Linked DNA regions of Macaca fascicularis. The protein of the gene in region 1 purifies or fractionates together with the protein of each later gene. This does not show direct contact. Links are inferred from orthologs where the notes say so. Each region holds a gene or a part of one and is shown on either strand. Other genes may lie near its edges. The genes, in order: NMNAT2 and FBXO45.

Region 1 (4,406 bases):
CTCGCTTAGTTGATGGTCAACTTAATTCTGTTAGTTTATGGTTCATGAAAATAGAGTGTTCATGGAATTATGCAGTCAGAAGATGAGTGGGCACTTCCTGCAGCCTTTGTTGCAGTATGAAGGCCTTTACAAGAGGAATCAGGAACATGAGGCTGAAGTCTCAGTGCCACCTATTCTCCATGTGTGTTCATGAGAAAGTCACTTGGCTTCTGTCAGTTTCTTATTTGTAAAATAGAGGTAATAATGTATTTCTTATAAGGTTGTTAATAGGAATAAGTAACTTAACGTAGATGAAAAAGTTTTGTTAACCAGAACTGCTCTACAAAAATAAATTATAAAATTTATCCAGAGCTCAAAGATTCACATAAGAGATTCTACCAAAAATAGTTTAATGTGTATTTGTGTTCTTATTCTTGCTTCATTTTTACTTGTTTATGTGCTAAATTCTTCATTAGGTAATAAGCTCCTTAAAGCCATAGTGAGTGAACATATCATATCCTTTTTTTGTGTTGCTCTCTGAATTATACTTTAATGGACATGCAAAGGACTTTGTTGACATTCTGCCCTGGTCCTCAGTTCTTACACTAAGTAAATAATCGCTACTGCCAAAAGTCTCCTTTTCACCTTTCTATATCTAAACCCTTCCACTGCAACTCAGGCCTATTTCCACATAGTCTATCCTTGAAGCTCATGGAGAATTGGCAGGTCAGTGTTTGCTTAACAAAAGCCTTTATTACTGTTAACAAAGAATCTTCAGTTGCAGGACAGAATTTTTGGTTCTCAATCCAAATCCGTTTCTCTTGTAATCTAAAATAAGTGGGATTTCATAGCTCCAGGAAGAAAGGAGTAGTACCCACTGAGTCACCAAAGATTCTTAGAGTCACAGAGTTTCATCCTCAGCCCAGTGGCTCTTCCCTACTCCTCCTTTCTCTTGGTTCCAAAGGAAAACCCATCATTGCCTGGTCAAGGGAGAGGAGTAAAGTGCATCAACATAAATTGCCAGAGGACATATGGACAGACAGGAAAAGAAGGAAAGGGATGAAGACACCAGCATCAAAGGGCACTGGGCACTGACATTCCTTAGAAGACTGATGAGATGCTCTTGTCTACCCTGATGCTTGAACAGAAGTCCTTATTTAACAGGCAAGTTGGCATTGGTTCTTAATAAAAGACTTTTAAAAGCTGAACGAATGGTGAAGAAGGGATGGCTGTTTCTCAGCCTCCCTCCTTCTATGGTGTAGATATGCCTACCCGATTTGCCCTCTGCTCAAAGTAGTTCTATATTCTTTCCATGAGGTTTTTAACAAGCGATCCCAGTTCAGCGCACCTTTTAAGTTTAAAGATGAATATTTTTAGCCTAAACCACCTCGCCCTGTCTTTACTGCTGTAATGTGGTTCTCATTAAACCTCCCCAGGAGGGCTCGCGCAATCCTCAAGCTCCGGATAAACACGTGTGCCCGCATCCAGCTCCGGCGCGCCCTGCATTTCAGCACCGCCGCCTCTGGAGAGCGCCTCGCTGGCGGGCCAGGTCAGGGCCTCCCACCCGCTCTCTCATCCATCCCAGCCCACTCATTCTTCCCTACTCCTCGCTTCTCTCAGTTTCAAGAAAAAGCACCCCCAACTTCTAACTTCTCAATTCGTGCTTCTAAAGTGACCTCCGCGTCCCTCTTTCCGTGTCCAAACGCTCATGCCCCGCTCCTTTGAGTCCTACTAGCAGCTGCGAAGCCGCGTGGTTTCCCACCGGTGGCGCGAGACCTCCAACAGGCATCCATCGATCACCTTTCCCCTGCGGCTCCTGGACCCCGAACCAGCCAGCCAGATGCCCCCGCTCGCTCTCTCTGGCTCCACGCCCCAAAGCTTCTAAGAAACAAACGCGCGATGATGAGTCCCCTCCCCCCAACACGCACACGCATATACTCACACACACTCATTCGCACATTCATACACACACTAGACGCCTCAAACCTTCCGCGTGCCATGGCCACCCTGGGCAGAGCCTCAGCCAACTTGGGCCCCGATCCTTCGGCTCCGGCTCCCGCAGGGCCTCCCGCAGCCGCCACCCGGCCCCCTCCCTGTCCTAGGCAGCGGGTTCCTAAGGCCGAACCTAGGCGGAAAAGGGCCCCCTCCCTATTCGCTCAGCATCCACCTCGCACGGGCAATACACGGCCCACAATTCCCAAACACTCGTCCCTGGGCCGCCCAGAACCACCAGCCAAATCTGAAATTAATCTTGAAGCCCCAGCCCCTGTCACTGGTGTGTTGGGCGCGAGTGTGTTTGTGAATCCGAGGCACATACATGATTTAACTCCTTGGAGATTTCGGCCCATCCTAAACAAACAGCACGTTATCTCCAGCCTCCTCCTCCCCCTACTCGGCGCCCCAACCTCTGCCCCCATCCCGGTCCTCGCCAGCCTGGTAGCCGAACCACCACACCGCCGCACTCCAGTTCTGGTATCTCGAACCCCTGCCCAGCCCCAAATGACACTTGTCTCTAGTCCTCTCCCATCCCCCACCTTTGGCCCCCTGGAAGCCGGGTCTTGGCCCCAGCAAGTGACGCCTCGGAAACGCAGTCTGCCTCCCCTCCCCCGAGTCCAAAATAAAGGGGCCGACCTCCACCAGCTGGATCAGCCGGCGCACCCCTCCGAATGGGGCACACGCCTTCCCGTTCGATCGCCCTGGAAAACACAGGTGCCTGGGAAAGGAGAGGAGCGGAAGCGGCTTCCAGAGGTGGGCGGGAGGACTCACCAAACATCTGAATGTGCCCTTTGGTGATGGGATTGAAGCTGCCGCAGGCAAGCAAGATAACGTGGGTCTTGGTGGTCTCGGTCATGGTGCAAGTGGGTCCCTCGCGGTGGTCTAGGGGTTGCCTCTCTTTTTGTGTCTCGTTGTGTCTGCAGAGGGAGAAAGGAAGGCGAGGCTCCGGCGGTGGATGCTGTGGACTCCAAGGAGCCGCTCCAGACGCAAACCGCGTCACTCTCCGCCTCCCCTTAACGCTTGCAGCTCCGGCAAGCTCCGAGGCTGCTTTTGTATTGCTCTGCTCTCTTCTCTCCTCGGTCCCTCTCTTTTCGTTCTAGCTTCCTTGCCGTCTCTCGTCCTGGTGCCCCACCCCATCCTTTCTATCCCCCCAGCCCGCTTCACTTCATCACTCTCTTCCTTAGAGTTTATCCAGAAGGCAAGACGTGGTACCCAAGCTCGGAACCAAAAGCTCACAGCATGGTGTGGGCTCTTTCTGCCTCTTGCCTCATCTTGATTCAGTTTTCCTCCTCAGTCTAACATTTTTCTGTCCGCCCTACTTTCTCTAACATCTCCAAGTTAAAAAATGTTTCATCTTAAGATATTTTTTTCTTTCTCTCTTCCTCAAAATTTTAAGTGAGAAATGACCATTGTTTATTTCAGTAGCATTCATTTCTGCCTTTCCTTTTTCCCTTATCTGATGATTCCAAACTATTGAGTCCAAATCTTGATCTGTTGCCGCAGAGAGATAGGGGTGATCTCAACCTTTCCTCTGCTATACTGATCCTTTTTGTGGGTGAAGCAATGCTATCCATTTGAGAGAACATGAAGGGGGCAGAGTTACTAAAACTGTATTAGAAAATTATGGGGATCCGCCGGGTGCGGTGGCTCATGCCTGTAATCTCAGCACTTTGGGAGGCCAAGGCGGGTGGATCACGAGGTCAGGAGTTCGAGACCAGCCTGGCCAGCATAGTGAAACCTTGTCTCTACTAAAAAACAAATACAAAAACTAGCCAGGCATGATGGCGTGTGCCTGTAATCCCAGTTACTCGGGAGGCTGAGGCAGGAGAATTGCTTGAACCCGGGAGGCGAGGTTGTAGTGAGCTGCGATCGCGCCACTGCACTCCAGCCTGGGTGACAGAGCGAGAATCCATCTTGAAAAACAAAGAAAATGATGGGGATCCTCCATAATCTACCAAAGTTGAGACAAAGACCATTTAACAAATGTTTCTTGAGGACTCACTGTGTGTCAAGTATTGCTATAAACCATGCTGGTGAAGCAAAGTCACTGTCTTCATTTTACTGGAGGAAGATAGACAATAAATATTAGATGGCAATTGTGCAATGCACAGTAAGTGAATGCAATTTACTCTCTCACAGAGCAGAGAGTGAGTGGAGAAGAGGAGATGAATCAAGTAGTCTGAGAAGGCCCTCTGGGGAGGTGACATTTCAGTGAAACCTGAGCGACAAGAGTAGTTGCTAGCCCACATATTCAGGGACAGGGAAGGGCTTACTGTGCTCATAGAAATGAAAGGCCAGTGTGGCTAGAAAATATGGGCAAAGGGAAAAATGATAGAAGACTGAGCAGCAGGTGATCAGGGCCAGATCAAATGGGGCTTGTAGGCTAGGGCAAGAGTTAGACACTTTTCTAAGTGGAATAATAACAAAAGGAA
Region 2 (4,323 bases), on another chromosome or scaffold:
AACATTTTGCTTGATATTATTTTGCTTCTATTGAAGCTTGACTCACACGACACATTATCTATTACATATTATGATTCTTGAATCATGTGAACATTTCTATTACAAGTCAATTACCAAAACAACAACTCCTAGTTTAGGCTGGGTGCAGTGGCACACGCCTGTAACCCCAGCACTTTGGAAGGCTGAGGTGGGAAGATCACTTGAGCCCAGGAGTTTGAGACCAGCCAGGCAACAAGGTGAGACCCCGTGTCTGTGAAAAATAAAAAAGGAGCCAGTGTGGTAGCACATGCCGGTAGTTCCAGCTACTTGGGAGGCTAAGCTAAGGAGATCACTTGAGCTCAGGAGGTTGAGGCTGCAGTGAGCTATGATTGCGCCACTGCACTCCAGCCTAGGAGACAGAGTGAGACCCTGTCTCAAAAACAACAACAAAAACTCCTAGTTTAAAATAAGTAAAAACAATAAGCTTTATGGAAAAATAAAAACTAAATAAAATTTATGAAACCTACACATTTATAAAAGTAGGACAAAATTCCAATAATCTGCACTCACCTATATAAATTACAACCAGTATCCACTGAATAGCCACCATGCACAAATAGTCCTAGTAAATTATTGTTATTTTGCTTAATAGAAAAACAACTCGAGGCCGGGTGCGGTGGCTCACGCCTGTAATCCCAGCACTTTGGGAGGCTGAGGCAGGTGGATCACGAGGTCAGGAGATCGAGACCATCCTGGCTAGCACGGCGAAACCCTGTCTCTACTAAAAATACAAAAAATTAGCCGGGCGTAGTGGCGGGCGCCTGTAGTCCCAGCTGCTCGGGAGGCTGAGGCAGGAGAATGGCCTGAACCCGGGAGGCGGCACTTGCAGTGAGCCAAGATCTGGCCACTGCGCTCCAGCCTGGGCGACAGAGCGAGACTCTGTCCCCCAAAAAAAAGAAAGAAAAAAGAAAAGAGAAACAACTTGATAGTTGACATATTTAATGGCAATGTTCCCTGTCTTCTATAACTAAAACCAGTTTTACTATAGAAGTATAAATTTTACATGCTTCACATGAAAAAAAATTTTTTACTTCTTACTCCGACCCCTGTTGGCAAGCTAGTATAACAAAGGGATGTTATCGCGTGGTGGCTCACGCCTGTAATCCCAGCACTTTCGGAGACCGAGGCCGACGGATCACCTGAGGTCGGGAGTTCGAGGCCAGCGTAACCAACATGGAGAAACCCCATCTCTACTAAAAATACAAAATTAGCCGGGTGTGGTGGCACATGCCTGTAACCCCAGCTACTCGGGAGGCTGAGGCAGGAGAATCGCTTGAACCCGGGAGGCAGAGGTTGCAGTGAGCCGAGATCATGCCATTACACTGCGTCTCAAAAAGAAAAAAAAACAAAAAAAAAAGGATGTTATCCTTTTAGTTACTAATGCATTTATTATGTTTACTACATTGCAATCAGACTTTATCTTCTCTTATATATGATCTTGGTTGACTGCTATACTGAACAGCTGTTAACCATTAAGCTGAACCCAAGGCCAAGACCCTTTGTTTATATGGCCTGAGAATCCTTTCAGCCCTACCACAACCTGTTCTTGACATTTTTATTTTGTATATGAAGACGGGCGGAATACGCACAAGAATCTAGGAGAAAAAAAAAGGACGCAGCGAAACTGTAATCAGCACCTTAGATGACAAACAGAAGAAGAGAGACACGCCATCCATGTGGAACTATTAAAAAGTTAGCAAGGAAACAGCCAACAACAGTAGGACAAAGCGGTATGTTAAGTGGTGCCCGTGGATGTTCTATAAAGGCCTGTATCTTTAAGTGAGCAGGATGACTAGGACTACACCCACTTGTGAGCCTCAAATATAGTGGAGGGAACTAAAGAGAACTTGGGGGAAAATAATGAAAAAAAAAAAAGGTTAAAAATCAGAGTTTGGAAAAGATGAGATAAACGTGGAGTAAAAGCAAACTAGAAACTTAGAAACTAAGCCCCTGTTAAGGTAGCGGGGATTATTTAACATAATGAAGTCTATTTGGAGGCCAGGGGGAAAATTAGGATGAGGGCATTAAAAGGTACAAGAGTGGTGGTCTGTCTTTAACGGGGAAAGCAGTCAAAAGTTGAATGAGTGATGCAAACTACCTAGTTGTTTGAAAAGTGGATCACGGAAGTGGGGTGGGTTAAGGAGCAGAACTTCGATCCAAAGAAAAGAGAATCTTTATGTTGGGGGGAGGTGAGGAAGGTGCTGACTGGAGCCGTGGAAAGGCGGGCTGGTGAGGCGAGGCGTCTGACTCAGAAGCTTGGATAGCAACACCGGGAACGACGCCGGGGAGCGGGACTGGGGGCAGCGGTGTGGCCCGGGGCTCTCTCACCTTGGCCTTGTAGCTGGGCAGGTTGCAGAGGATGTCCGTGCGCAGAGCCTCTTCTGCCAGGCTGCGGGCGCACAGGCTCCGCCACACCTCGCTGTTCTCATCGCCGTGCAGGCAGCGGTACCAGTGCTTGCACACCAGGGCGCAGCTCCGCAGCTCGGACAGCTCCAGGTAAGAGAACACCAACTCCAGCACCCGGCTGGGCAGCCGGCCCCCGGCCCCCGCGGCCCCAGAGCCCGAGCCCGCGCCCGCGCCCGCGCCGCCGCCGCTACAGCCAGCGCCGCCCGAGGCTGCCCCAGCCCCCGGGGCCGGCGCCGCCATCGCCTCACCAGCCGGCCCGAGGGCCGCCGCCGCCGCCGCCGCTTCCCGCCGTCTCTGCTCGGAAGGCCAAGCCTCGCCCGGAGACCGGAGCGGCTCGCTCACCGCCCCTTTCAGTGCCAGCCGCCGGCGCCTCCACCACTCCCGCCCCTGCCCGGGGGCGTCCGCCGCGCGCCCCGCCTCACTGAGGGCAGACGCACCGGCTGCACGGGCGTCCTCCGCCCCTCCCCCGCGGCTCAGCGAGGGCGCCGAAACCGCCCGACTCGCCCGGCCTCTCCGCGGCGCGCCAGTGGCTCCGCCATGCGGGTTGAGGGCACGAAGCAAGGGCGCACGCCCAGCTCGTTCGCGGTTCCTCTCGGCCCCGGATGTGACTGTTTGGCTGCGCCGCCTCGCGCCTTACGCTCGACGGGATTGGGCGCCGGCGGGTGAGGTCATCACTGGGCGCCGAGGAGGGGAGCGGGAAGAGCAGGTATGAGGCTGGGGCCGGTGGCTTTGATGCTGCTTTCCAGTGCCTTTTCCTCTTTCTGGTCTGGTGGCTCCGCGTCTGCTCTCCTGGGCCCCCTTTCCTGTGACGTTTCCCTGTGTCGGTTAGGTCCTTGCTTCAGACTCCAACTCAACGCGTGAAACTTTTCTTTCCTTGCTGGCCAGTTCCTAGCTCCCCCACCTTTTTGTGTAGCTTGGGCAGCGGAGGCCGTCTTGACCTGGTCAGGCCCTCTCGTTCTCCCCGAATATCGGCAGTTAGCCCAACGTCTGTGCCTGTGTGCCTTCGGAAAGTAAGGTGGCTGCGACTGAACACCCCCGCGCCCACGCCTTCGAGTGCCATTTGAGTGCTAATTAACTGCTTCTGTCTTTTGGACAAGGTGTGGCCTTTACTGGAGCCACCGCTTAGTAAGCAGATGAAGGCAATGTAGTTTTAGTCAATTAAACATTCCAATAGGGAGAATGACGTGGAGGCCATGATTATAGATGGATTCTTGGAAGGGGAAGAATTTCAGCATCCCAGCCTGGGCAACATGGAGAGACCGTGTCGCTACAAAATATAGAAAAATTAGCCGAGGGTGGTGGCGTGCGCCTCTGGTGAACCATAATCGACTGCTGTGCTCCAGCCTGGGCGACAGAGTGAGCTCCTACCTCAGACACACACACACACACAGCTATATCCATCTCTTAGTCTCTAGTAAAAGCAAAGGAACGGCAGCTACCTTCCCTACCCTCTGATACATGGTGTTTGATTATTACTCGCCTGTCCGTTCTCCTCATATGTCTTTTTCACAAAGTCCAGTAACCGTAATTTTCATTCTTACCAATGCCAGCGCCACAGCCCTTCAGTCATTTTGGTTGCTATCCAGCTTCTCCACATCAAGTCCAGCTTTAGAAACCCCAAGCCGGTAAAGAAAAGTTGACCTCTGCTGACTATGGTGATGGTGACTCTCTCTCACTAATTTCTTTTAAGTTTTCGAGGATAAGCAGAGTTGATCCATCTGAAAACGAGATAATGAACTAGACAGAATGAACAGCCTTAAAGGCACAAGCACTTGAAAGGGACAGTGGTGGTATGACTGGTGCAGAGTGTTTCGAGATCATTCAGTTTTAAAGACTGGCCTTTATCCTGTCACAGTACAGCCGAGGTAGAACCTTTGA

What was found.
Region 2: the proteins of NMNAT2 (region 1) and FBXO45 purify together in Homo sapiens (co-immunoprecipitation; 3 studies listed by BioGRID and IntAct, with this or other methods). This does not show direct contact. The link is inferred for Macaca fascicularis from reciprocal best matches to the Homo sapiens genes NMNAT2 and FBXO45.

Annotation. Positions count from the first base shown.
Region 1 is NC_088375.1:40,953,192-40,957,597, forward strand, and holds the start of NMNAT2 (nicotinamide/nicotinic acid mononucleotide adenylyltransferase 2), read right to left. Parts: upstream 2,914-4,406; 5' UTR 2,831-2,913; coding exon 2,611-2,830; intron 1-2,610.
Region 2 is NC_088376.1:1,968,595-1,972,917, reverse strand, and holds the start of FBXO45 (F-box/SPRY domain-containing protein 1), read right to left. Parts: upstream 3,000-4,323; 5' UTR 2,686-2,999; coding exon 2,368-2,685; intron 1-2,367. UniProt on the Homo sapiens protein: Component of E3 ubiquitin ligase complex consisting of FBXO45, MYCBP2 and SKP1. Functions in substrate recognition but also plays an important role in assembly of the complex.